4 linked regions of the Oreochromis niloticus genome follow. The protein of the gene in region 2 interacts with the protein of the main gene of each other region in a pairwise test. Links are inferred from orthologs where the notes say so. Each region holds a gene or a part of one and is shown on either strand. Other genes may lie near its edges. The genes, in order: pdlim1, gfap, ribc2 and sh3yl1.

Region 1 (7,922 bases), on a different chromosome or scaffold from region 2:
GAAATTCAAGCGTGATTGAAACAAGTAATACTCTGTGCACACCTGAGGAGCTATAAACTAAGTTTTTTTTCTTAACTTGTGCATGTACAAACATGCAGTGTTTGCTAAGTGGGTTAGAAATATTGCTTAAGGTTTGAAAGTGACTGGCCCATTGTGTTTTAAGCTTCGCTTTCAATAACATTTTTCTTGAAAACAGACTTGGAAACTTTGAGCGGTTCTGTCTTTTTAAAGCAGCTTCCAGTCTGATACAAAGTCACACATAATTTAGCAGGATAATGACTGTGGACTCTGCCTTAATTATACCTACGTGGCTAACTTTAACGACAGATGCGTCATGACACTGGCATGCCATCACAGTGGGCATACAAATACCACCAAATCTAGCTCATGCTTCACAGTGGGAACACAGAAATGCCTCCAAATATAGCTCATGCTTCAAGCTTCTAAAAGTGCAAAATCTCCGAGTCTCTGTGAGCAAGATAACTTGCGCAAAGGAGCTGACAATACTTACATAAAACAAAAGAGTGAAGCAACAGATTCTAGAGAAGTGCTTGAAATATGTGTTAATATGTGTGTGGGAGAAAAAAAACAAAAAAAACACTAGTTTTGTGACTTGTGAAACACACACACACACATACAGGGCCTGAGACACCGTTTCCTACATGAATTCATACTTTGGCCTCAACTTTCCACTCAGCGGGCAGGAACTGAGGCTTGCGTCAGGGCTTGGCTGATAAACTACTGTCTCCTAGGAAACCTCCTGTTGGTAAGTAAACAATGACTTCATCATGAACAGTAGTAGGATATAAATTAAAAAAAAAAAAAAATCCCCAAGCCTTTGCAGGCACGGGGGGGGAGAACAGCACTCTGGCTTCCAGAAACTGAATGGCTACTCGATTTCACTCTAAATGACAAAGCTGGAGGAGTCACTTTTTTAAAGCTCATACAGCTTTGATGCTAACACACACCCGTGGTTCTGATGCAAGATTCATCTTGTAGGGATGCGCCTTCCCCTCTTCAGATGACAGCGGCGACCACAGTTTTGTTTCTGACCTGAGGAAGACAGGAAGGCAAAACAAGGCTTGAAAGATGATCTGAGGATTCAGTAACATAAAATGCCAGGATCGCCCGCGTGTTCCTGTGTACCAGCACGTGAATGCAATATTAGGGCTGTGTCTTTGAATGCAACAGAGCCCTTGCAGGCATGCTCATGTTCTTGTTTATCTTGCAGTTAACCCCGCCCTTTCATGCATTCAATATGGCATCGCTTAATGGGAGCAAACATATGTGGTTCAAACCGTCTGTCAATTCCCTTTTGATACGACTCCTCAAAAGTCATCAGTCATGAGTAATTTACAAGACAACACAGCAGAGCGATGCGGGATTGCAACATGGTAAAAACCAGTAAAACAAACAGAACTGCTGTTTAAAAATCACTGAATAAACATGATGTCACTCGCTGAACACCTGGATTGCAGCTGAGCCGTCTCACATTACTCACTCTTTTTCTCCGAGCCTATGGCTATGCAGATCAGAATGGCACATTTAGACACAGCTTACCTGTCTATGGAGAGCACCATTTCCTCTATGCAGCCCTTTATCTTGTTCTGCGCCTCCAAGTGAGTCATGTTCTCTGTTGGTTCTCCATCGATGGCAAGAATTATATCCCCGATGCATAGATTTGCTTGGGCTGCTTTACTCCCGGGGTTGACCTACAACACAGGACATAGAAATTATAAAATTAGAAGCTACTTGTGCACTGTATAATTATGAATATATGGAAAACGCACCTTCTAATTACAGCCTAAAGGGTTCCAAGTCAAAAGAGGAGAGTGCCATTGTTTTAAACCTGACCTTCAAGAACCTTTAAGCAGCTGTCTTTGTTAACAGTAAACAGAAGTGAAGGCACTTGCAGAGTCAGGATAAAAGCTTCCTGGAGCCCAGATTCTCTATCTGAGATAAAGGCCTAAAGCAGGGAGAGGGAGAGGGACCAGTACAGTCCAGGAATTCCTAATCACTTTTCCATGGGTGGGGTGGCCTGACCACAGTAATAACCTTCACAAGAGAGGGGAAAAATGCAGTTTAGGCTCAGACAAAGCACACAGAGGAGTGCTTTGCTAGCTATAATCCGGTTCATTACTGCCACCAGAGCAGCACCCTGTATGAAGCTTAATAAAATCTTAGCGCTAATGAACACCAGTGAGGTGTGTCAGCTGTCAGCTCATGACAAAGAGGCTCCGATGGGTCCATGGTCACACAGTGATGTCAAAGTGTGGAGTTTAAACTTTTAAAATCACGCTTTAAATCTTAAGTAAATTCTGTACGGGACAAAATATGACAACGATTGTTTGGGATGAGTGCATTTCTGGTTCGGCTATTATAAAACTACTACTTTAAAGTAGCCTTAACTCTCAGTTAAAGACCGAAAAAAATACATAAATCACAATTCATCAGGAAAAAAGATATTTTACCTTACATAAAAATGTATGTTTTTAAAATTAAGTGGGGTCCACTGACCACCGTGTTTGCTCCTTGAGGTAGCACTAGCAAAAATTGCCCCTAATTTAACTTTTAATTACAATAAACTGAGAAAGCTAACGCTAGTTTAGCCGTTCGTTAGCCCTCCGGTTAACACAAGCTAACCATTAATCGTCATCCAGCCTTCAGTAAAGTCGCGGGGAAACAATGAGAGGTGAGAGTCCAGGTGCGGTTACACTGAAAAGCGGTAGAGAAACTAACAGTAAAACGAGCTTACCCGGGAAATAGCCAGTGGCTGCTCGAAGTCCTTTCCCCCGACCAGCCTGAACCCCCAGGGGCCGGGACCCTGCAACGCCACACGGAGAGGCATGGTGTCAAAGTTTTGAAACAGAGCCGACGATGGTTAAGGAGCTGCCTCAGACCTATGGTTCACTTCCTACTGCAATAATGACGTGGAGTAATCGATGGTCAAAAGTTTGAGGCTGACTGCAACTCCACCGCATTAGTGGAGGGGGAGGACCCTCGGATTACAGTTGGACGAATAGATTTTGAAGTTTCCTCCCTGATAAGTGAGACCGAAGATGGTGTATGGAGAAGATGGTTCACTCGTGTACATATGTGTACTCGCGCATACGCCACTAACGTGCAGAATTGTGGGATTAAGCCACCATCCTGGGGGAGTAAGCCCCTTGGACACGGCGACTGAGTAGTGGCCATCATTTTCTTCGTCATGTGTTTATCTTATTAAGAAAATCTGAAGCAATGAAAATACTGTTGTGTGGCTCATGACACTAGTTATCAGGGTCCCTTCCCAGGGCTTCAACGCCTACTCACACCTTGCCTTGTGACCTCGATAGGGTGGGGGCAAGCTCTCACCGTTGTTTCACCCTTATTTATTTGTTTGTTTAACCTTTGTTTTATTTAACCATGAAGTCGTTTAAGATTAACATCATATTTTCAAGGGAAACCTGGTTTCAAAGTCCAGTGATGGCAATGACCCACGCCTTTCTCCACACAACTCACATGATCAATAGTGGGTCCTTCAGGACCACCTCCAAAGAGGACACCACCTTTATGGGTTAAATGCCTGGGACACTCCACCTTTTGTTTTTAGAACAGAAGAAATGTCTTATATGAGGGCTGAAACGTCTTCACAAACTTAAAAAAGACCAGTTGCCTTCTTTTTCTCAAGCTCTCAAGACCAACATGATCTGGATGACTGAGAATCTACACAGACATGGTTAGACTTGAGCATGACGTGTAAGTGATTTCAGGATTCACAATCTTTGCACAGCTAATGGCCGCATTAGTAATGCTGGTGTGATAAAGAGAATGCATGTTTGAGCCTGTAATTCTGCCTGGAGCAGTTAAAGCCTAATCAAGACACTTTATATTGTTGTGATTAATAAAATAAAACTTTTCCTGCTACTGGGCTGGTGTTGAATGTGCAAGGATGTCTTTAGTATTGCTGCTAAGGTTAAAAGGAGCATGTGAAGACTGAATCTGCGCTGGACTGGGAGTAAGTTGTTTCATTTTGGCTGTGTTTCTGTATGGCCAGTTAAAGTCAGCATGTCTGCTTGAAGGTGAAACACCATATGTGATGGATGAATCACATCCTGACTGGGCTTAAACACTTTGCTTGAGTCACTCTGAAACACAACCTGCAGACTCACAGCGTTACACTCGATTACAGAGCATATAAACAAAAGTGTCCGTATTAGTGGAGCATGATGGATCCAAAACAAAAGCAGAGGATGAGGAGGGTCAGTCCTTCATAAATGCAGAAGAAAAATTATGGCAAAGAAAACATTTAGAGGAAAAAATACTACAAGAAGTCACTGATTTTATTACATCTTTAGTAGTTATTAATCTCTTAATTATGTTTTCATCTTGTCACTTTAAGCCTTGATTATACTCAGACATGGACAGCTGGAAACACCTCAGCAGACTAGTAATTCCTGTTACCCTTATTTGAAGTCTCTGCAGACGAGTCCACGTGGTCACAAAAACAGGCAGGCACGTGGATGTCTGCACAGCTTAGCCCTTTTGTAATTTTTACTTGTGTTGGAGTTTGTTTATTTTTTTAACAGTGCCGATATGAAGCACTGAAGCATGCTATAGCTGGGTCCCAATTCAGTAACTGCATCCTTCCATTGATGCAGCTTAGCAAGAGGAAAGGACGGTACTGAACAGGCCAGGCAGATGAGTCTGGACACAACCATAGTAATGTAAATAAAGCATATAGAGTATATGGAGGGGCAAAAGTGCCAGTGTAAACACGCTCCCTGCAAAATCCCAACTACGCATTGCTTGTCATGGATGATGCTGTTTGTCAGTCACATGCTGATTGGTTGACAAATGGGCCAGGTTCACCAGAAATGGGTTTCCATAGCCGAGCAGGTACATCCACCAAGTGCAATGCAAAGAGCTGGATGCGGTGGTTGTAAAGCACGCCTCCACTGACCAGTGGAAACATGTTTTCTGGAGTGACGAATCACTCTTCTCCATCTGACAATCCAATGGACAAGTCTGGGTATGATAGTTTCCAGGAGAACGGTATTTGTGTGACTGCATTGTGCCAAGTGTAATTTGCCTGCACAGTCCTGACCTCAATCCAAAAAAACACCTTTGGGATGAATTTGAGCGGAGACTGTGGCCTCCTCGTCCAACATTAGCGTCTGAACTCACAAATGTGCATCTGGAAGAATGGTCAGAAATTCCCATAAACACGTGTAAAACTTGAGGAAAGCCTTCCCAGAAGAGTTGAAGCTATTATTATGTAAAGGGTGGGCTAACATCATATTTAAACCCTATGAATTAAGAATAGGTTGCCACTCAGATTCACATGCATGTGAAGGCAGAGGAATGAATACTTCAAAGATCTTTATCCTATAACTTGGATTTTTTAATGCTCGCTGTGCCTTGAATTACCTTTTTTGTTGATGTACATAGATAAATGTGATTAATTTCTCTGATTTTTCATTTATTGTTCTTTATTGGCACATACATCCACCCATAATCTTCGGCTCATCCAATTCGGGAGTCTATCCCAGCGGAAAATGTTAATTGATGACTATCCAAATACAGTTCATGAATAAATCACACCTCTAAATATCACTACCATACAATATCCGTATTGAAAGAAAACACTAACTTAAAGCACAGTGGTCTAATCTTTCTTTACCAGCAGTAAGCAAAAGAAATTAATTTTTATATTAAGCAGCTCCACTGCAGTAGCTATGGTGACCCATTTGTTATCATCACATAAGAACGATTGCTTCTGAAGAGACCCCACGGACAGCAGCTTCTTTCCAACAGAGATCGCTTGATCTCCAGGAACTCCTTTAAATTCAGCTTGCCTTTTAGGGGCTTTCGTTTAATTTCTCTGGTGCTCTTGCTTCCTCCCCAGTCCAAAGACATGCACATTAACTGGTGATTCTAACCAGCAGGGGCGTAATTTCCAGGGGGGTTAGTGGTGTTATGACCCCCCCCCAGTAATCAGACCCAACCAATATAACCCCCACAATAAAATTATGAATGATCTTGCATAAATAGGCTGTTGATTTTCTTTACTTGTTTCAGGTATTACCAGAAAAATAGTTGCATGTTTAATCATCTGGGAATTTACCCACATTTATTTATTTATTTAGACAGAGATCTTGTTCAGCACAAAGTTACACCGAAGCTAACCGTGAGGGCTCGATAAGGTGTTTACAGTCTGCGGAATAAAACAAATCAAAGTCTAAAACACTTCGAGTGGTCAGTAATGCTAGAAAAGCATTGCATTGTATGATGACAGCTGTGCTTTTGTGCACACCACAGCAGTTTAACCACTGGAAGGCCACAGCCTCACTGTGTCCATGAAATGCTGCTGCGTTAACCTGGAAGCTAAATGTGTTCAGGCAGGAACTTTGTGTGGTTGAACATAACTGAGACCCTTTTTTGGAGGAACTTGTAGTGTTTCCTCAGAATAATGAGGAAGACGTGAAGCACTTTGCCGACTCATGCTCTGCGGCTTGATGAACTGATCGGCCTGATTGCTCACTTAAAAAAAACACCATTTAATTTTCATCTTCCTGGTGAATGACTGTGTAACACTGTGAAGATAATATGACTCAGAACTGCTGTAGTTCCCGTGTTGCTTTTACTTTAATTTTTCATTATTATTAAACTCAAATTAAACAACAGAAAAGTGCAACTTTGCGATGACCACATTACTTTTAATGTAGGGACATTTCTCTGAAAGGAGAGCAGAGTGGTACTTCTTCGTGTTTTGGACCTCTCACAAGAGCTTCAGTTTGTTTTAGAGACGTCGGCCTGCCCTTGCGTCACCCTGTTATGTGCAAACTTACCATTTATGGTAGAGCTAAATCCCAGGATGTGGAATGTGCCGCTCCCAAAAACTGAATTCCTGCCAGTGGGCCTCTGCTGAAAGTGGAGGAAAAAAATAAAGGGGGGGCCAAGGCGGCCAAACTGAATGAAACACGTCCTTTCTTGTGGGTTTTGCTTTGTAATTTTAGGTATGCCAAAAAGCCTGTGAGCCCGTTTTAAAGTGACGCTGTTATCAGTTCAAGTGGATATAGTGCAAGTGGGACTCAGGACTCTGAGCGGCTTTCAGCATTTGTTCACTGAGATTACAGGAGTCTGACATTTATTGCTTCATTTCACCCAACAGCATTCACCCACTTTCCTGCGTGCAGCCACAACAGTGGACTACATCAGAAATGATCATCAGATAACAAGCTGACGTTCAGCAGTCCAGACGTGAACAGCTCCCCCTTCGACCCTGACTCGCAGGCAAAGTTCGAAGATCTGCTTTTTCAAAACAAACAAACAAACAAACAAACAAAACATAACCCCCACCGGCCACTTCATTAGTTACACCTTGCTAATACTGGGTTGGCCCTGTTTTGCTTTCACAAGTGCCTTAATTCATCTGGCACAGATTTAACAACTTCAGATTCTGGTCCACGCTCACATGATAACATCATACAGTTGCTGCACATACATCATGCGAATCTCCCGTTCCACAACATTCCCAAGGTGCTCTATTAGATTGACATCTGGTGACTGTTGAGGCCGTCGGGTACAGCGAACTCACTAACATGTTCAAGAAACCAGTTTGAGATGATTTAAGCTTTAGGACACCGGGGCATTATCCTGCTGGAGAGAATCATCAGAAGATGGGTACACTGTAGTTTTTCAGCTTCCTGTTTTTAACTGTCAGCAGTGGGGTCTTCCGCTGCTGTAGCACATCTGCTTCAAGGTTTGATATGTGCATTCGGAGATTCTTTTCTGCATCCTTTGGTTGTAACAAAGTGTTATTTGAATCACTGGAGATTTTCCCTTTTTCAGATCATTCTCTGTAAACCCAGAGATGGCTGTGTTGGAAAATCCCAGCTGATCAGCAGTTTCTGAAATACTCAGACCAGCCTGACTGGCAC
Region 2 (6,986 bases):
GTTTCTGAGTTGTGCTTCAGCTCCACACTTGTTGTTAAATTACAGTTCTAACAAACTATTTTAAAAAAGTGTGTGTTTGCCATAAGTCCATCTGACAGCAGTGTAATTTGTGAATTCAAAATGTCTGTGTAATCTGCGTGATCTGGTGTACTCACTGTGCCACGAAGAGCCTCCAGGTCACAGGTGACCACTTGGATCTGACGACGATATTCGTTGGCTTCCTGCTTGGCCTGGCGGAGGGCTTCTGCGTTTCTATTGGCTGCATCTGTCAGGTCAGCAAACTGTGTACAAAGATGAAACAGCTCGTTTGTATGTGGTGTGTGTATTAGCTTATTAGCTGTGAAACATTATCTTTATCTTTGTGCATTTCTTTTAAATTTTCACACATTTTCACTTTATACAATAAGTGTTTTATGTCCGACAGCTAATTCTTCTCACCTTGGATCGATACCATTCCTCAGTCTCCTGCATATTTGAACTTGCCATGTTTTCATATTGGACCCTGATGTCTCTGAGAGCAGCAGTCAGGTCTGGTTTAGACACATCCAGATCAACATGGACCTGCTGGGCCATGATCTGCTCCTGTAACTCACGCAGTTCCTGCAAGGAGGAAATCCAAATTTGATTGTGGTTAGTGGCAATTATTGGTGCCTTAATATTTCCGTGACTTCTATTCCTTCAGTTGTTTTCTTACCTCCTCATGAATTTTCTTCAAGAAGTTTATCTCATCCTGCAGGGCATCAATCTTCCTCTCCAGCTGGACACGATTTAAAGACGCCTCATCCACATCCTATGAAAAAAAATGAAGCACACAGAGGGATGAAGTTGGATAGTCAGTCATACCGAATGTCTAAATTATTTAGTTGATGATTTCAGGGAACAGAATTACCTGTCTGAAGCCATTTAGATTATTTTCTGCATCCTGTCGGAGCCCAATTTCATCTTGCAGTCTAAGTCACACAAAGGAGAAAAATAACCAAATTAAAAAAATTACTCAAATTTGGTTTTTTTAGGTTAACAGAACATCCAGTCTTTCCAGTTTTTGTTGTGCAAAATACTTTTATAGACAAAAATCATAAACACACCATTTATTTTGAGTTAACTTGTTGTGCATGAGCCTTTTTTGTCAACTCCTTCACATCTCAGCAAAAAGGAAACAAGCATGAAAGGATTTTTACATTTTTTTTTACAGTTTCTCATTTATGTCTAACAGAGTATCGTCTGCAAGGACTAAAAACACGCACACGCACATCGATTAGATTCGTGATATCAGCTTTACTGCTGCTCCCCATGCTGCTGGGGATGTGCGGGGCTCAGCTGAAAGGGCAGCTTACGCATCATTACACATTCACTCCAATCTAGCAGCCAGAGGCCTTTCCCACGGGATGGAGCACACACACACAGACATAAAAAGGACGCACGTACGCACAGCCTCGTGCACAGATAGGCACCACCCTACAATCCATCTGCCATGCACACAGTGACATGGAACTCTAAGCATCTGTATGGCTTCATGGAGCGATTGCTGAAAAGAGGGCTTCAAGAAGAGCAGCATGAATCACAAAAGTGACCTCTGACCAGAATCATCACTATTCATGCTGCATTCTTTTAGAGGACCAGCAGCTGCGTGGTAATCGGAGGATATAGTGTGAGAGAGACCTTTCGAACCTTTAGAGGCTTCAAGTCACTCATTCACAAGATTAAAGTATAGATTCATGCCACATATGCATCTAAAGTTTTAAAAAAGATGCATATGCAATGGCAGTGAATCAGTATTTTGGAGTAACAGGGGACTAGTGAACATCTGCCCGGCTGGCCGTTCCCTTTGTGTTGGGCTACCATTGTGTTTCCCTCATTCCTTCGCACTCACTCAATGGGGACAAGGGGTTCAAGTTTGTAAAGAGGGATCCAGGAGTAAAGCTGGGGCAGAGCACAGTGGGCTGCATTCCAGCGGGTCTGAAATCTGCATATAAATGAACTGGCAATTATAAAAGAAAACTAAGAAAAAAAAACTTTCCACTGGAAAGAGTTTGTCTTATTTTGTGCCAAAATACATAAAATCTACTCCAGCTGAATGTGTTTTCCTATCAAAGACCAGCTAACCAAAAGCATTTGTCTAGAAAACACACTTTGTGGGCATTTCTTTCACAGTCCAAATATGTTTTTCAGAGTGTGTTTCAGGTTCTACTATGCTTTAATCAAGAACATGGTAAGGTTTAACATAAACAAGGGTCCAAAACATCTGTACACTAACTGAAAAATGAAATATGAAATTGAAATTCAGTACATAACTCTAAAAAATAACCCTTTGCATTTCTTTCATTATTCTTATACATACATATGCAATCTCTAAAAGAGATACAAATGGGTGGTACTACTGTGGGATCATGCATCACACCTACATGATCCTCCACCCACAGAAGTCCTGCCCTGCTACCTCTTACTTCTGCTTAAGTGCAGCCACATCTGCAGCCAGGTTATCCCTCTCGATCTCCATTCGAGCCTTGTTGTTGGTGAGACCATCGACTTGTCGTCGTAGCTCCCTGAGCTCCTCCTGGTAGATGTCTCCCAGTCGGCTTGGCTCCTTCCCCTTCAGCTGGTTCAGCTCTGCCACCAGCACCTTATTCTGCTGCTCCAGCAGGCGCACCTTCTCTATGTAACTGGCAAAGCGATCATTCAGGCCCATCATCTCCATCTTCTCGTTAGTTCGTGTTTCCTTGTACTGGGCCTTCAACAGAGAGTCAGCTGAGAAGTCCAGCCGATCAACAGGGCTCCCCAGCAGCAGGGCTGTGCTGCTTGAGCCCAGGGAGATCCGCGACACGGGACTGGAGTGGGTGACATTGCGAGGGGTGCCATGCCAGGAGAGGCGGCTAGAAGAAAGGCCACCAATTCTGACTCCAGAGCTGCTCGAGCTCTGGGGCCCAAAACGCTTCCTGTATGAGGACTGGACTCTCTGACTCTCCATGTTGGGGAATGGAGCTCGCTCTGGGCACAAACAGGGCTTTTATACAGCCAGGCAACCAACCCCCCCAAGACCAAAGCAGAGAGACCACAGGGTGGGGCAGAGAGAAGGGAGGGTGGCAGGCAGTGAATGGGACAAAAAGGGAGAGCGAAGGGGTGGTTTACATGACACTCAAAAAGCTGTGCGCCAGGGATTGTCTGTGCTCGTCCACTCAACTACAAATGTCTCTTGGCTTTCTCCCTCTCCCCCTTTCTCCTCCCTTCTCCCCAGCCTCTAACTCACTCTCTCTCTCACTCTTACTTTCACCCTTTTTTGTCTTCCTCTCTTTCTTTCTGTTTGAGCTGAATGAAAAGGAATTTGTGTGACAGGGTCTGGCCACCAATTCAAGCTGACCACACATGCGCTCTCACAAAAACAGAAACACAGTTTGATCAAACAAAAGGGTGCTGGGGAGAGATCTTCGCTCTCTAATCAGAAAATAACTTCAGATCGGCAGGTGGAGCAGGTACAGATACAAAGAAAGATTAGTATATTAAAAACATTGCTGAGTGTATTGGAAGTGTGCACAACAAAAGCCTGTGAAATCATTTGAGACTAGGGTCAAATGATTTCACAGGGTCAGTTGTGTGGAGAGAATCTAAGAGCTGTTGTCACTCCTCTTTGGATCACAGTTTAGGGCAGCAGTTATATAACAAAGGGCATAACATTATTCGTTAACTCATCCTTAATGGGAATATTTATTATAAAATGTGCTTATTCAGTAATGAAAATTAAAGTATGATGAAAAAGTTCATATTACCCAGACTGGAGAAAATACATTTTCAACAAAGTATATTCAATTCAGTTTCAATTCAATTTTATTTATATAGCACCAAATCACAACAACAGCTGCCTCAAGGTGCTTTCTATTGTAAGATAGACCCTACAATAACAATCCCAACAATCATATGACCCCCTATGAACAAGTATTTTGGTGACAGCGGGAAGGAAAAACTCCCTTTTAACAGGAAGAAAACCTCTGGCAGAACCAGGCTCAGGGAGGGGCGGGGCCATCTGCTGCGACCGGTTGGGAAGAAAGAAGGAAGACGGGATAAAAGACATGCTGTGGCAAATCTCCATTAGCGAGTTAGCACGGATCGCCCCGTGCGTGGGCCAGCATGGCGTCAACGCGTTACGGCGGTTAGCTTGTTAATGCATTAGCGCCATGCAGCCCCACGCACGGGGCGATCCGCGCTAACTCGCTAACGTGTTAATGCGGTCATTTTAACGAGATTAACGCTGACAGCACTACTATTAATACATAGTGAGTGAGAAAGGTGACTGAAGAAGAAATACTCAATGCATCATGGGAATCCCCGGCAGCCTACACCTATTGCAGCATAACTAAGGGAGGATTCAGGGTCACCTGGTCCAGCCCTAACTACATGCTTTAGCAAAAAGGAAAGTTTTAAGCCTAATCTTAAAAGTAGAGATAGTGTCTGTCTCCTGAATCCAAACTGGAAGCTGGTTCCACAGAAGAGGGGCCTGAAAACTGAAGGCTCTGTCTCCCATTCTACTTTTAAATACTCTAGGAACAACAAGTAAGTCTGCAGTGCGAGAGCGAAGTGCTGTAATAGTGTGATACGGTACTATAAGGTAAGATAAGGTATCTCACCTTATAGTACCTTAATAGTACCTTATGGTACTATTAAGATAAGATGGCACCTGATTATTTATGACCCAGGGTTTTCATTATATATGCCATTAAATATTAATCTATAACACTTCATCTCAAAGCATTTTCAAGTGCTTTGGAGCTTTTAATTAAATAAATAAATAGATAGATAGATAGATAGATAGACAGATAGACAGATAGATAGATATACTGCAGTACATGCACACTTTCAATAGAAAGAAGAAAAACACTTCCCTTGGAGATGTTCACTGTGTCTGGTTATTAGATGTCTTGCTGGTTCCAAAGACAGATGGATGGCAGAGATGAGTGGGGTCAGGTGGTGAGATGTGGGGAGGAAGGGAGTTGGTGAGTAAAGCCTTTTAATCTGAACTCTATGAGGACTAACAGAGTCTGCATTGCAAAACCATTATCATCCATTACCTTGACAACCACAGAGCTGGCTACCTCAGACCACCTCAGCTGATCTTTTTGAAGAAGATGTGATTTATGGAAGTGAGATTTTGACCAAGTGCCCATTTCCTTCTGCAAGAATATATCCCTCATGTCAAGAACAGAGTATTTTGGCATGACAATAATGTTATTGAAAACAGAGCTCAAAAAGACACAAAAGTACTAAAAGTTTGGGAAAATACTGCTGGAAAAAAAACTATGAGTAATATTGGTTTTGTGTTGCTGACAAGATACAGTAAATAACCCTAAGTAATTTTAATGAGAAAAGCAACGGTAACTGTGTAGCAAGTTTCTTTCTTTTCTCTATCTCCTCTTTCTGTGTTCATGTCTTTGTCCTCAGGTGTTCCCTTCTCACTATCTTTAATTTATATTTTATATATTTCACATAAGTCTTTTGTATCCATGTTTGGTCATGCAAGTTTTTGTTCTTCACCTTTGTTTGATTCTGCCACCTGTGCTTTATCCCTAATCAGCCTTCTGGGTTTATAGAAACCTCACTCTTCCTTCTGTTCTTTGTTCTGGTGTCATTTGTGTAATCCTCAGTGTGTGTCCTGCTCTTGTGTCCTCATGTTTCCTGGCATTTCCTAGTTCTTTGGACTTTTTGTATCACATTTGGAACCTTGATCAACCTCTATAAAGGCTTGCCTTTTGTTTAGTTCTACATTCTGGCTCTGCAAATTCCCCCCAAAAAACAGTTGCAACATGGTAAAAAAAAAAAAAAAAGTACCAGTAATTGGTTAAATTCCAGCAAAAATATCAATTCTGTTTTTGTTTGGTGTTAGGAAGATCAAACTGGCAGTAGCACATTTAACTGCTGAAGGTAGTAAAAACCACAACAGCAGTGGTTCATAAAGGATTTCTTTGTTACTAGGCCATAAAATCACAGGGACTGTAGACCAATCATAGTGCCTTTATTCAGTGGGAGACAGTGAATAAAGGCCCTAGGACTTTACTATTTGGCCTCTGAGTGTTGTTGCTAGTAAAGAAGAAAAACAACAGCACACTGTCTTGAATTCTAATTGGTCTCTCTTAAAGCAGGTTAAACAAGATGGCACACTGTAAGTCTGGCAGAGATTTGTTGATTAAAAAGGCTCCATCTCTAAGGAGTAATAGCATGCTTGCATCATTAAGGTGACAGTAATTGTTTCGCCCCTCTGAATTTTTCCGGCAATCACCACCGTTGCCTGAGTTCTGGTCACTGAGGTAATATGTCCTGATGATTAAACATCCAGGCAGAAAGAGAGTAAAAGTGGTGCTGCAGACCTCTCCTTCTCTTTGCTCCCTGCTGCAAGTCAAACAGCTGATTCATAGATCCAGCACAAGAAGACCATCTTATCTGCAGGAATTACAAGAAGAAGGGGTGTGGGGCAGAATCTTAAAACTGAAATGATCTCAGGCCAAGATAAAATCGCAGCCAGCTAAGTTTGACTGCTCTGGCATTTTGCATCCAGAAACCCCAGTGTGAACCTCTCAGCTACCATTCTTCAACCTGGCTGATGTCTGAATGTACATGGCCACATACCAAACTGAATCCTGACCAACAAGCTGGAAATACGACTGTCTCAGCCCCACCTTCATCACTACATCAAGGACAGACAGGGTGTAAATTAAGGGGTAGGCCTTAATCAAAACTAGCTGCTTTGGGTTTAAAAAAAAAAAGGTGTTACACCCACAAAATGATGTCCTGCAACAAATTAAACAAGATGAATTTAACCTATCTGCATCAATTCTTGTGAACATGAGACTTGCATCCTCCAACGACTACGCAGGTGGGGAGAGTGCTTGATTGTGTCCCTCACACCCCTGCTGTACTTGTTTGGTCTGGACAAATTATACTTTTTAGTGACTTTGCATAATTCCTGCATAGTTGAGCCAACATATCTAGGACACTGATATTGT
Region 3 (7,061 bases), on a different chromosome or scaffold from region 2:
TAGTGTTGTTTCCCACAATGTTTTGTAATGAATGAAATAATTATGTGTCATAACATGTCGCCTACTGTGGAAAAAAAAAAGCCTTAAAAAAGGTAAAACAGACTCACAATGCCATGTTAAATACAGTAACAGTGTCACACAGCTTTAAGTGATTGAGATGCTAACTGCTGTTTTATTTCTCTCTGTAGTTCTCTCACATGTTGCATATATTAGCATTAACATAAAAAGGTGGCAACATTAGCCAAAGCACATCAAACCAGGCATATGTATCAGATATATAAAATATATATCTGATATATATATCACACAAAATATATTTTGTGTGTGTGTTTTAAATCATATGACCGATGGAACATTTTTCTTTAAAGAAAGCATTTTTTTTTAAACATCTGTAAGATTTTTTACTTGAATATAATTTTAACACTTATGCCTTCAACTGACTAGTAATTAATATTTGCTTATGGAGGCAAAACTGCGAAAGACTTGAAACACAAAAACTAATCATCTTTCAGAGGCTACTTTTTAAAGCAGTATCTGAAATTTAATCAACATTTTTCAAATCATGCAAACATGAATGTTCTGAACTACATTTCACATAAAAGCAGCTGTTTATTCACTGTGATATTCCGTTTATTCATTGTTCTTTTTATGCAACACCATCACTGGTATCAGAGCAGTGCATCACCCCTCATCTGCTGCAGGTGTTGAACTTGGAGAAGAAGCTGTCATCAATACGTCCTCTTTTAATGTCTGGTTTCCTTAAAAATGAAACATTGTTAAAAACAGTGAGACAATGTACACTGTGTTAAATTTAATAAAAACAATTTTGCTCAAACGTTACTGTTGTTTGTGTGTTTCGGCCAGCTGGGCGTTGGCGCTGTCCAGGTCTCGCCTCAGCTGCCTGTTCATTCGTGCCTGCTGCCTCTCAATAAGCAGAGTGGTACGAGCTGAGTTCAGGCGCACGCGATCGTGCCACTCTTCTTCTTGTTTCTTCTCCAGTTCTTTTCTCTTTACGTGCACAGACAACACACACATTAGGAGATAAAATGCTTTATATGGGCTACCTTTGAAATGATCCATACTGTTTGAGTGCAGATATAATTTTTTTTTTTTTACCCTCTTCTCCTCTATTTGATATTTCTGGATTTGAATGATCTGCTGCAGGCTCTCAGGAGGTGTCCTCCTGTCACTGCTGGGACTCAGGCCGGGCACGGCCTCCGTACTCGGGGTACCTTGAAACTGGCTTTGCCTACTATTGATTTGCTTGTCTTGACGCCGCTTTTCTTCAGCCTTTTCCCATGGAGACACATGAGTAATAAGGTGGAAATAAAAAATGTTTATTGAAGCCTATAGCAGCGTTTAATGCAGTTAAATTCCTCTCACTCACCATAGACCGATTGAAGTCTTTAGTGGCGATGGCAGCTGCCTTTCTCCTTTCTATCTCAAGGCTCTGAAGTTGCACAACTCTGTTGTCCATTTCTACTCTGCTTTGGTCATAACGCTGCTCTAAAAATTTCAGTAGAAAATATGACGGGAGCTTGCCTTTTGTGTTTGAACTGAGCATGTGTATTAAGCATGGTCTTAAGGCAAAACCCACCTTCCAGCTGTTGTCGATGCCTTTCCACCGCCTGCTCAGTCTGCTGCTGGGTGAGCCACTCTCTGAGCTGTTCCCTCTGGTTCTGCAGCCTGACCTTACTTTCTGGGTCTTCACCCACCAGGCCAGGAGGCATCATCTGTGCATCATTCTGCTCTATTTTTTTAACACGGCCGGGATCATTCAGATCATACTCCTGTCGATCTTCAGGCTGCTGGTACTTCTGCCTGTAGGCAACAATGGCTTTTTCCAGTGCACGCTTCTCCTTCATTTGGCGGCTGTCGAGAATGCAAGCTACTTTGCCATAATGGAGCATATCAGCATCTGCATGACGATCACATGCCACACACATATACCACAGTTCACTTTAATAAAGGATTGTATGACACACATCAGGAAACAAATTTGAAGTAACTCACCATAGGCGTTTTGTTCCTTTTTTGCAGCTTCTACTTGTTCCCTTTTCTCTTTCACCTGCTCATCTAGGGCTTCCTTGTCAACCTGTAGAACAGTCATTTAGAGACAAACTCAATGCGTTAACCTCCTCTGCCACAGACTTTCCACTTCTGTTTAATTCAGACCCACACGTACCCCAATCGTCCTCAGTTTCTCATTAAAAATTCTTTCTTTTCTTTCAGTCTCTATGTTGTGACGCTTCTCCAGACTTGCTCTGGCGAGGCGCATTGAAAGTAGTTCAGTTTTACGCATTTTGGCTCACAGCGGTGGCTACCATTTAGTTGAGGATTTGCTCCCGTCTGAAACTTGGAGTTCAAACACACTGGTTGCTAAGACACCAGAGTGTTCGCGAGCCCTCGTACGACGTCGGCTTTTTCCGGAGCATTCACCCCAGACGCCTCGGATCGAAACATTTCAGCCAATGAAAGCACACCAGTCGCAACGCGGATGGTGTCGAGAGTCCACCTACTGATAGGCATTAAATCTTGGACCTGTATTAAAAATGGCAGAACAATAACTAACACTGGCCTGGGTTATTAAAAAAAACAAACTATCTTTTTTTATTTTAAAACAACAACAACACTGATTTCAGATTTGCAATCCAACTCATATTTGCTCGTCATGTTTTTGAGATCCACATCACCAAACCATCCAACCGATCCCTTTTCTGCTGCTAGAATTTTAACTCCCATCTCCAAGCATTTTAGTTTTGATGTCTCTATTCTGCGTTAAAGCGCATTTCTGCCACTTCAGCTCTAAAGAAAAGATGTTTGAGGGACACGCAACCAGTAGCGGTTTTTGATACGGGCGACACGGGCGGTTGCCCGGGGCGGCATCGTGGTGGGGGCGGCATCACGGGCATCGGCAAAAAAAAAAAAAAAAAAAATTTACTCATGCTACCCCGACATCATGCCAGCGCAGTTTGGGGATGGCATGGGCACCAATCGGTTTTCTATCGCCCATTTGCTGGGAGTAAGGGCGCCCTCCGTTTGCGAGGTGCGCCTGATGCTTGCGGCGCAGAGAGGAGAGGGCGGGGCGGCGGGGGATTCTCTGGCTGGCTGGAGCAGCATCTAATAACCAACTCGCAAAATAAAACAAAATAAAAACAAACACGAAAACACCAGACATTATGATACAGACTTATATTCTGCACCGATGTTTTTTCGAAATTCTATACACGAAAACTGAGCGCGAGAGCCCTCGGTGCGCCTGCTGCTGAAGTCAAAGTAAACTTTATTGTCATCTCCGATATATACAGTCCAGTATATAGAGAGACGAGACGACGAGGCTCCAGTTACAGCAGTGCAAGTAAACAAACAATAAATATAAGAAGAGTAAGAAAATAAATATACACTTTAGGACGAGGGGTAAAGGGATCAATGACAATTTAAAATGAATCCTGGGTTGTGCGAAATCCCAGAAATAAAACCTAGACAAAGTGAATCTGTGAGCTAAGGTGTAGGTCTGTTAGGTTATGTTGTGGTGATCCTCGGGTTGGGGGATGGGTGTTCATACTGGAGTGCAAAATTAAAACCAATGGAAGTTGGACTAGAAAAGTTCAAAGCCATCAGGTGCTCAGTTTAGAAAAAAGAGAAAAGAAGAGGAGGAGAAACGAGCAACCGGTAAGCAGATGTGTCATTGGATAATGGCAGGTCATCCTGAAACAATCAGAATCATATTCAGAATACTTTATTAATCCCTAAGGAAATTGTGTGGGTTACAGTTGCTCCAAGAAGAAATTGTAAAAATAGTAACAGTAACAGACTAAACTCCAAACAATACATTATGTTACAGATTTTACACACTTAAGAAATAGCACTAATATATACAGGTCACTCAATTATAAATATCAAGAATTAACAGAGGTGATTATAAATAACTATCAAGAAAATTGACAAGAATATTACAGAGTAGAAAAGAGCGTGTGTAAAAAGGGTGTAACTATTGCAGTGTTCACAGTGTGTTAGATGGAGGAGTTGTACAGGGAGATGGCCACGGGCAGGAATGATTTCCTGTGTCGTTCAGTGGTGCATTATGGGTAATCTCAGTCTCTCACTGAACATCCTCCTGTGGCTAGCCAGCATATCATGGAGTGGGTGGGAGGTATTATCCAGCATTGTCTTTATCTTGGACAACATTCGCCTCTCAGACACCACCCTAACGGAGTCCAGCTCCATCCCCACAACATTACTGGCCTTGTGGATCAGTTAATTTAGTCTGTTGGTATCTGTGACCCTCAACCTGCTGCCCCAGCATGCAACACCATAGAGGATGGCACTGACCACAACAGAGATACAACAGGATAACATTAATTAGTAGGGATAGTGAAAACGTCTGTTTACGTTTGTTAGCCACTTGGCTATGATAGTAAACAGTAGGCACTGATGTAGCTGACTGAATCTTTTGGACTGTGTTCAGCACAATATTAATTAGTCATTGTCAATTCTTGATTTGTCCGGTTCTCATTGTATGACGAATTATGATGGCTGTTTGGTAGCCATTTGCATGCTATGCATACTCTCTCTCTTCATATATGTGTGTGGTTCCAACAACAGTTTTATGTTTTACAATCCTTAATATGTTTTATGTGTGTGTGTGTTTTTTGGTTTTCCATCACTTTTGTATCTTGATGATACATTTCCCCATGCTCATCGAAGTCATCTCCGTGGTTTGGTGGGAAAACAGTTGAGATGAGAAAGTAAAAAGTGCATCTCCAGTAACATTCTGGTACTCATTAGCTATCTATGAGCAAGCATGCCTGTTTTGAATATGCTGACCTATTTCCAGCAGGGGCGCTGTGTCTGTATAATGAGGCTCTATCACCTCAATCATCTGTTGTCGCTCGCTGTTTGGTGGGCTGCATGTTTTAAGGTGCATTGACGCCGTACACATGTTGTGCCCGTTGCACAGACGAAGGATGTTTTGTCTGCTTAATTTAACTTGGTTTCCCACTTAGAGGCCTTTTGCTGTCACATCTCCTGTTGCTGTTGGGGTGGGGCATTTACCACTCTTTCTCAGGTGCGCACAATACAATAGAAGAGGTATGTAACGCGTTGTTAGCACTATTGTTAGTTTTGGACCTAAACTATTCTGACGTGGGCTATTTACATGGTAGAAATCATTGGCATGTTGCGTCACCTGGGTCGGGAGGTGCTCCTCTCCCGTCCAGGTGAGAGTTGTTTAGCAGGTCAGGTATGTATAAGCTGCCCTTTCTAGTACTCAGTGATCATCATCATCTGCTGGTAAGTCTCAGTCCTGAACACAAACTCCCTTTTCCAGTATGATTGAATGTGTACAGTTTTAAAACGATGTTTTTCCTTGTGTAATAAAATTCAAAGTTTGAATTGTGAACTCTGGTCTTCTGCCTCATACTAGAGGAACAAATCTGTGTACCTTACTGGTGTTTCTACTCATTTATTTGGGTGGAATTCCCAAGGTGGCGTTGTTGGCAAATTTTGGCTGCCCTAGCTATCGTGAGAACAGTGAGTTTAAAGAACAAAGTACTGAATCACTCTTTTTATACCCTCATGCTGCCATACGCAGAAGGTATGCAGCCTGTATTTGGCTCATTTATTGTAGTGACGCTGGCACATTTTTCTATTGACAGGGATCCCAAACTTCATCTTTTCGGTTAAGTAAACATTTCCCTCAATTAGCAAGCATCTGCTGACTCTATAATGTGTTTTTGGACATGATGACATTGGTTGCTTAAGTTGTTGGTAAAGTTTTAATAGGAAATCTTTCATCTTGTGTTGGGTCTATTTCCTACACAAGGATGTCCACAATCATGCATTTTCAATAATCGTACAGTATATCCAGTTTAACAAATTGTTTTTTAATGCTATTGTGCCACCAACTTGGATATTATTAGAACATCTGATTCAAGTGTGCTTTTCTGTTGTGCTGACACAAACCAGTCGGACAATCCTAAAAATCAATCATGTCTAAATCTAAAATTAACATAAGAGATGCCACAGAGCAAGAAATAAAGTCTTAACATGTGAAAGGAAAGTTCCTGTTGGCATTGCCATGAGGAAATGCCATTTGCATGAAATGGTAGGCATGTTCTGAAACAGTGTAGGTAGGTGATGTGTCAAAGTATAACATCCACATGGATGGCCAATGTTTCCCAATAGAACATTGCCCAACGATTACGCTGACTCCCTCTGCCGGCTTGGCTTCTTCCCAAAGTGCAACCTAGTACCATGCATTCCCCAGCTAAGCGACACACGCTCCAGCCATCCACGTGATGTTAAAGAAAGTATTATTCATCAGACCAGGCCAGCTTTTTCCATTGCATTGGATTTGGCAATAGATGGGGGTCAGTTTGGACAGCATGGACTTGTCTACAGCTACACAAACATACGCAGCATTTGATGCTGAAACCTTTCAGTCAGTCAATATGTTATTCATACAGGACTTTTCAGACAATAAGGATGCAGTTCAAAGTGCTCTATTCATAAAAAGCAGAAAATAAAACTACACACATGTCCCTTCACTACACCATCTCATCACTCCTTCAATCCTACAGCCCTGCCTGGACATTAGACACCACCTTGTCATTTGGAAATGCTGGAGGGGAAAAAGTAAAAGGTGAATATAAAGGCAAGTAAGATGAAAGAGGGGAATAAACATGTAAACAAATAATGCAATGAAAATAGACACAACCCAAACTAAAAAGAAAATACTTGAGTTTGGTTCTAAAAATCTCAACAGTGTCAGCAGCACGTGGGTTATCAGGTAGACTCGTCCTAAACTTGGAGCATAATGGCTAAAAGATGCCTCTTCATTAGTTTTAGAACCAAAACAAGCATGAACTTTTTCACCAATTTAAGCTACAGTAGCTCGTCTATTGGACATGACAACACAGGCCAGCATTTTCTGACCATGAGCTTTGGACCCTGGTTCACCACTGTTCCTCCTTTGGACCACTTTTGGTAGATACTGACCACTGCAGACTGGGAACAGCCTACAAAAGCTGCAGGTTTGAGATGCTCTGACCCAGTCGTCC
Region 4 (6,888 bases), on a different chromosome or scaffold from region 2:
AATATTTGTGCTAGTTAAACCATCATTCATTTTTACATTTTTGTGTAACATTTATAAAATGTGATTTTCACAATATCAAAATTAAGTCTATTATTTAAATATATACATTTTAAACTACTAAATTTGTTCACAGACAAAAAAAATGAGAACATATCTGAAATATAAAGAGATTTAAATTATAATAAGATTTTATTTTTATCAGAATAATATTAATTGATGGATGCCTAAACCTTTAGATGATAACACATATGACACATAAGTCTGCAGGTGCAGGACCTTTTAATTCTTTTCCAGAAATAATTAATACATAAATTAAATTAATTATTCACACATATATATCATTATGATAGCGTTTTATTCTCTACCAAGTCACTGGGATTCTTTTAACCAAGTTCTTCGAACTCTTTTATTTGAAAACAGCAGCTCCGTGTTCACATTTAAAATACATTTTTTTAAAAGTTAATACCAGAAAATTAATTTGTATTTTTGCTTTTGAAAACAGTAAGAGATTAATTTTCTTCCCATTTTCTCTGTATTTGATTTTTAAAGATTAGATGACTCTTCTTCAAGTCTCACATCATAAGACTTTCCAGGAAATCTCTGCAGTGAGAGTCAGAGAGCTGTGACCAGTCTGCCGACATGCCAAAATGCACTCCTGCTGCAGCAGCAAATTCCTGACACATGACACAGCCTGAACAGCACATCCAAATGTGCCGCTGACCAACAACATGCCAACATGGCCAAGTGCTCCTGCAGCATCGCCTAGACTCCATCACAGCCTGCAGCACTGATGGAGAAAACACTGACTCAGAGAAACCACCCAATCCTCCATTTTGAACGTGAATCCAGTGGCTTCAGTTAGGCTCCACCCCAGCCAGCACTGAGGTGGAGTTAGTTATAGCCATCTTTCAGACAGAATCTACCTGTGTATGGAAGTTCTAGTGCTCTTTTTAGACAATTCTAGTCAATAATGCAAGTTTAGATTAGTGCTAAGGAGGTTGAAGCATTCCTTCATGTTCTAGTTGTTGGTCAGACGTTCTGGTAATTAGACTGTGATCATCTACATAGAAGTTTGACTCATCTTTGGAGCAGTTATACAGGATTTTAATTGCTTTTTTGGTTGGCTAAGGGTGTTCCTTATGCCTGCAACAATGTTCCTTTGGAGTTTAAGATGGTACTGTTTGTTAAAGAGATGTCTAAATAGGTCACTAGGGAGGTTTCCAAAGTGGCTGCATGTCAACTGATGATCTGTGATTTCCCTGTGATTTGCTCATAAAAATGTTGAAGGGGTAATTTCAAGTCTTTTCAAGCCTTTCAATGGTGGTATTTTTAAATAGCTATATCTAGAGAACTATTTAACCTATGTCATTCAAATTTTTAATCCAAATATCTACTACTATGACCTCAGGAATATGGCATTTTGAAAATGTAGCTGAAGTTCAACATAAAATACTGAGACATTGGATTAGTGTAAGGCTTACAGAAGGCTTAAATTCCACCATGTGTGTCATGAACTAGATCATGTTATATATAAATTTATCATATTTTCATAAAGTTCTGCGTTACTTTTGATATACTTGACAAAAAAATAGCAAAATAACGGCTTTGTAATTAAGTTTAGTTTTGGTGTTATTTATAATGGTCATTGCAACATCTACCCTGAGGTGTTTGTATGATCATGCACATGCTAGAATTTGTTTGAACATGCCACTGATAGCTGAAGTGAGATAAGTTTGTGGATTAGCTTGATTAATACAATGAGAGAGGCTAGAGTTACCGCAAGTGGGTGTAGGTATACAAGGAGTATGACATCACACTGCTGAGAATTACAAGGTAAATAGCTTAATGTGAACACGATGCTTTGATGTAGGATAGTAAAACACATTGGTGATGGTCAAGCTGGGAATGTTTCTTGGTTTGGTCAGTTCTCATGCTCTGGCTGTTTTTGATGATGGAGTCCCTCTTAGTAGTTTCTAGTGGTTTATGTTTGTGATCCATGCTATAGTCACCAGACAGGATTAACTTGTCCTGGTTAGTTAGTCATGAATAAGAACAGTCAGATTTTTGGCGGAAGTCCTTTAGGTTTTAGTTATTTAGGAGCCGGGTGGTCTTTAAAGAGGTTTTAGATGTGAATGGGGAGCTTTTACTGGGAATTAGCGCAGGTTTATTGCTTCTGTTACCTCCACAAGGAAGTTCTGATTATTTTTCATAAGATTCTGGTCACATATGACGAGGTCCCATGGCAATAAACTAGTATAATCTTATTAATTTCACTTGTAACATAACAAACCCAGCAGCACAGAGAAGCAGTCACTGACAGCTGATTAACAGCTAACGATAGCCTGTTAACACTAATGAGATGTCACAGATTCTCCACAACATGAGCAGCCCCCCAGCCCTACCCAACCCATGGCCAGGCCCAAAATAGGCAGCGTGTAAGTTAAAAGAATATACACAAAATATTTATATTAATGTCTGAAAATTCTTTTTTTTGTGTACATACATTTTAATAAACAAATATTTACTCCCCTAACCCACATCTCCCTCTGCCCGTGACCCTCTGGGGGGTCCTACTCTTCAGTTTGGGAGCCAGAAAAACTAAAACTGCCCTTTATAAGGGAGTAAACAAACTGTAAGAACGTTTCCTGGTAAAACTGCTCTTCTTTTACTAAACCTAACCCTGTAGGTGTACAGGTAAAGCAGACAGGTAGAACAGACCGGAAACAGCAGACAGACACATAAAATAACTCCTTGTGTACTTAAATTACTCTTTTATCTTTAACTTACTTTTTTTCTTGTTTCTTCTCTGTCAGTTTGACTGACGACAGGTGAGCAGTACAAGCCTCTTCTCTTCTCTTCACTTCCGCTTCACCTGACGCTTCTCACAGCCGGAAACTGCGCGCGCAAAACTACGTAAAGGAGAAGCTGTAAGTAGAGGCACGTGGTTAGGTGAGGGCAGTTGGAACTGTGTCGGTTTGCTGTGTGAAGGGTGGTGCTCTCTATCAACTAGGCGCGCCCTCGCGTGTCTGCAAGGTAGCTCGACCGAGTGGATTTTTCCCTGATTTCAGACTCTCAGGTGCGCGGTTAATGTGGAGGCTTTTAATTTGGTACTCAGATGTTTTTTGTTTCTCAGGTATATTAATATCTGACAGTAAAAATACTGCATCCAGATAATGAGTTTTACCTCTGGTAGTTGCACATTGAATTGATTAATTGTATATATTATTACAATATCTAAAAAAAAAAGTATATATATAAAATATACTGAAGATATTAAAAAATATATATTATTTTTTTTTATGAATAATAAACAATAAAAATGTAATAAATGCCCATTGATATATAAAGCATTTGAATCTTTTTAAAGAAAAAACTGATTGGAGTGCCACTCTCGTGGGTTTTCTTCCCCAATCTATGACTGGTAGTGCTATCCAGATATGCTTTTTCTGCACTGGTAGGGTGTCTGGGATCCTTGTCATGTGGAAAAACGAAACTGCCACCAATCAGACACTTTCCAGATGGTACTGTACAGTGGAATAAAATCTGAAGGTACTTTTCTTTGTTCATAAGTCCACCAGTTTTAAGATTCCCAGCACCACTGCCTCAAATGCAGACCATGATGGAGCCTCGGCCGCGTTTTACAGATTGCTGTAGACACTCACTGTTGTACCTCTTTCCTGATAACCTAAGTACAAACTGATAATGATTTGAACCAAACATTTTTGTCCAGTTTTTGTGTAATTTGACTTACTTCAGCCCGAGGCTCCAGTGAACAGTAGATCAACTGAAATGCCAGATACGTCTTCTTTTTTTTCTTCTCCTTCATTTCTCATATTTTGTAGGAACATTACTTTCAGGTTCTGTTCATCTGCTGTAGATAGTTGATTTTTTTAGGCTTGAACCTTTTCTTTAGTCATTTTACATTTATATTTTACATATTTTAAGGACACACTGCACACCATGCTGAGATATGCCAAGTTTCTGGCTAAGAGCTTTTGGGGGAAAAATACAATTTTGTGTCTGTCAAGCTGTGTTATCATTGGCGTTTTTTTTTTTATTGAAGAAATTATGTGCGTTTGTGGTAATCTGCAGTAACAATGTGCCTAAAGATACAATTTAAAATTGTAGGCATCTTTAGGCATCTGTAAATCAACACTGGTTGATGTCTGTAGTTAAGTGCCTGTTTTGCCTAAATGACTTGTTTTTTCACTGTTAAGTGGTTCAACAAACAAGCAAACAAACACACAGAAACAAATATTCCTCTGAAAGTGGTCAGGTACAAGGACTGGACTGAAAACAAGTGAAAAATCAGCCAATGTCCAAAGAAATATTTTAAAAGATCTTCAGAAAGCGTGGAGAACAACTGCTGAAGATCACTTTGAAAAACTATAAGAGTGCCTGGTTCATTGGAAGCAAAAGATAAAGAAAGGAGCAGTGGCTCAAGACTTTTGCAAAGTAGTATCCACTACTGATACTACTTGTAGTCTCAAACTGATTATAGTGGGTGATTTGCTTCTGACTCCTAAGGCATTTTTAGACTTAGCTGAGTTTTTAAATAATATTATTATGTTTTTTAAACTTTAAATAATGACATTTGAATGGGAAAAGTTTAAATTCTACAAATGTGGAAAACAAGATAAATGTTTCCAGAGGCAGTGACTTCCTGACTGGAGATAAATATGATTTTCTGGCATCTTTAGCTGAACTTAATGTTAGCTGCCAGCATCGCTGTGGCTGATATAACAAATCACACAGTTATATCACTCAGTAGTAATGTTGTGTAACCTGTAAGTCCACGACTCCATCTACTGCTGAGAAAATGCAGCGCGTAAATATTTAGAGAAGGGAGCTTATTGAATTTAGACATGGCTGATCTTGAACCACCCAGTTTACCAAAAACTTGTTTTTGGACAGTTTCATGCCTTATTTACCTGTATACCTTACCATACCTGTATTTTCATACATTTTAATGCATATTTTGTAGGAATCATTTAGACTTCTTAGCTATTTTATTGTAATATTTGCATCGGTTTTTTTTTTACTATTTCCTAATACTTTATTCTGACATTTGATATGTTGCAATGATTCCATTAATATATTTCTTAGAGATTTATTGATTTTACATGCATTTCAATAATATTTTTACATGTTTTACATCTTTTTCTTTCATATTTTACATTCATTTTTTATTGATCTTTTGATTTTGTTATATTCATTTTTATTTCTTTACATTTGCTGATGTTTAATTCTGACATTTTAGTTAAAAATGTAATATCAGTTTTGGACACTAATATTTTCTGGTATTTTTGAACAAACTCAAAACAGGTTTTGATAAAGTATTAATGAGGTTTTTTTTTCATTTATGCATAATTTTAAGATGGTTTAAAGATGCTTGATGATTGAAAATGTTACCAATAATTCACTAAATTAAATATTCATTAAATTTTAGCAATAATTTCCAATCAGGCTGACATGTAAAACTGACAGATTTACATGGTGAATCTAAGTGCACATGTTAATTAATGAACATTGTCCCTTTCAAATAAATGTAAACATGAACAAAACCATACATTCTAAAGTTAACCTATTAACCTAACCCACTAACTACATTTGGACTGTGGACAGAAGCCAGAGTACCTGGACATTAGATTTGGATGGAGGACCTTCTTGATGTGAAATAACAGTGACAAGCACTGGGCCACTGTGCTGCCCCATAAAATTAAACAGAATGATCAATGAAATTCATAAAAAGATTTAAATAGGGAAACAAATCATCAATGCCCTTCCTTATCCATGTTTTCCTTTTTCTCAGCCTTGATCTCTCATTTCCTCTCATCCCACCATCTTTATCTTTTTCCACAATCGCTTCTCTTTAAATAGCCTGCTGGATAAACATCTGTCTGACTGCAGCCATTTGTCTTCCTAATGTGTTTCCACTCAGTGTGTATGCGTGAGGCCACCCAGTCTCTACAAAACAGTTCAGGGCTCCCACTCCTCTAATCCTCTACAGGCCTCCTCAAAATCCTCAGAAATCATTTTTCAAGTCCTGCAGTCCATGATCTGTCTTCTTTAAGACTTTTGAGTTACTCTTCACGTCCACATAATTCAGTGTTTAAGTTCTCTTGACATCTGCAGATCACCCCCACCCCAACCTCCAGGTTCAGATCTCTTTCCAAATCATCCACAAATCATTCTCCCAGGCCTTCAATTCAAGGAATCCCAAATCCTTGTAAGTTCTTGAATCTATCTGATGTTATCCTATGGTAAAATGAGTCTTTAATCCTTATCAGTGGTCTTAAAAGTCAAATTCAACGATAAAGCCTTTTCCCAAGTTTCCCAGTTCTCAGTGAGTGCTAGTTCTGGATCATTTTCCCACTCTTTCAGTTGTTTGTTCTCTATTCTCTTTTGTATCGTTAGTTCCCCCAAAAGTCTCTTTCAAAGTTATCTTTTACCCTTTGTGTCATTTCCACAGTTTCCAAGTTTCTAGTCAAGCACTCCAATACCCAAGTAACCTAATGCCTTTTTAATATCTCCCTTCCAGTCCTCTTAATCTTGGTAATTTACTATGAGTACACCTCTAAAGTCACAGATCAATTTTTGAGTTCTTCCCTGGGTCCTTTGGCCTTTTCAAGTTATCTTCTAGTCTTTGAGTTCTTCAGATGTTCCTTTCAGGCCTCTTCTCTCCATAAAAGGTTGAATTTACTTTAAAGTTGTTTTTCTCTAGTCCAACATAATGCATAATCTTCAGAGTCCTCAGTTTCCACAGAAATCCTCTAAGTTGCCAAATCCTCTAGTCTTCTAGTCCCTTCTAAGTCCTATTGTCCATTAATGGTCATCCTCCCAGTTCTGCACTCCCCTAATAGGAATCTTGTATTAAGCCTTGACATT

The links.
Region 1: the proteins of gfap (region 2) and pdlim1 interact in binary tests that used the Homo sapiens proteins (3 or more experiments, as listed by UniProt). The link is inferred for Oreochromis niloticus from reciprocal best matches to the Homo sapiens genes GFAP and PDLIM1.
Region 3: the proteins of gfap (region 2) and ribc2 interact in a two-hybrid assay, tested with the Homo sapiens proteins (2 studies listed by BioGRID and IntAct). The two-hybrid records come from large-scale screens. The link is inferred for Oreochromis niloticus from reciprocal best matches to the Homo sapiens genes GFAP and RIBC2.
Region 4: the proteins of gfap (region 2) and sh3yl1 interact in binary tests that used the Homo sapiens proteins (3 or more experiments, as listed by UniProt). The two-hybrid records come from large-scale screens. The link is inferred for Oreochromis niloticus from reciprocal best matches to the Homo sapiens genes GFAP and SH3YL1.

What each region holds. Positions count from the first base shown.
Region 1 is NC_031978.2:25,484,246-25,492,167, forward strand, and holds the start of pdlim1 (PDZ and LIM domain protein 1), read right to left. Parts: upstream 3,020-7,922; 5' UTR 2,849-3,019; coding exon 2,756-2,848; intron 1,713-2,755; coding exon 1,561-1,712; intron 1,054-1,560; coding exon 969-1,053; intron 1-968. UniProt on the Homo sapiens protein: Cytoskeletal protein that may act as an adapter that brings other proteins (like kinases) to the cytoskeleton. Involved in assembly, disassembly and directioning of stress fibers in fibroblasts.
Region 2 is NC_031969.2:28,883,553-28,890,538, reverse strand, and holds the start of gfap (glial fibrillary acidic protein), read right to left. Parts: upstream 3,007-6,986; 5' UTR 2,966-3,006; coding exon 2,445-2,965; intron 951-2,444; coding exon 890-950; intron 791-889; coding exon 695-790; intron 601-694; coding exon 439-600; intron 282-438; coding exon 156-281; intron 1-155.
Region 3 is NC_031972.2:62,003,941-62,011,001, forward strand, and holds ribc2 (RIB43A-like with coiled-coils protein 2), read right to left. Parts: upstream 2,404-7,061; 5' UTR 2,303-2,403; coding exon 2,186-2,302; intron 2,096-2,185; coding exon 2,014-2,095; intron 1,919-2,013; coding exon 1,598-1,918; intron 1,507-1,597; coding exon 1,388-1,506; intron 1,291-1,387; coding exon 1,117-1,290; intron 1,009-1,116; coding exon 842-1,008; intron 836-841; exon of another isoform or gene 759-835; coding exon 689-758; 3' UTR 505-688; downstream 1-504. UniProt on the Homo sapiens protein: Microtubule inner protein (MIP) part of the dynein-decorated doublet microtubules (DMTs) in cilia axoneme, which is required for motile cilia beating.
Region 4 is NC_031986.2:26,980,787-26,987,674, reverse strand, and holds the start of sh3yl1 (SH3 domain-containing YSC84-like protein 1), read right to left. Parts: upstream 3,021-6,888; 5' UTR 2,789-3,020; coding exon 2,788-2,788; intron 1,575-2,787; exon of another isoform or gene 550-1,574; intron 1-549.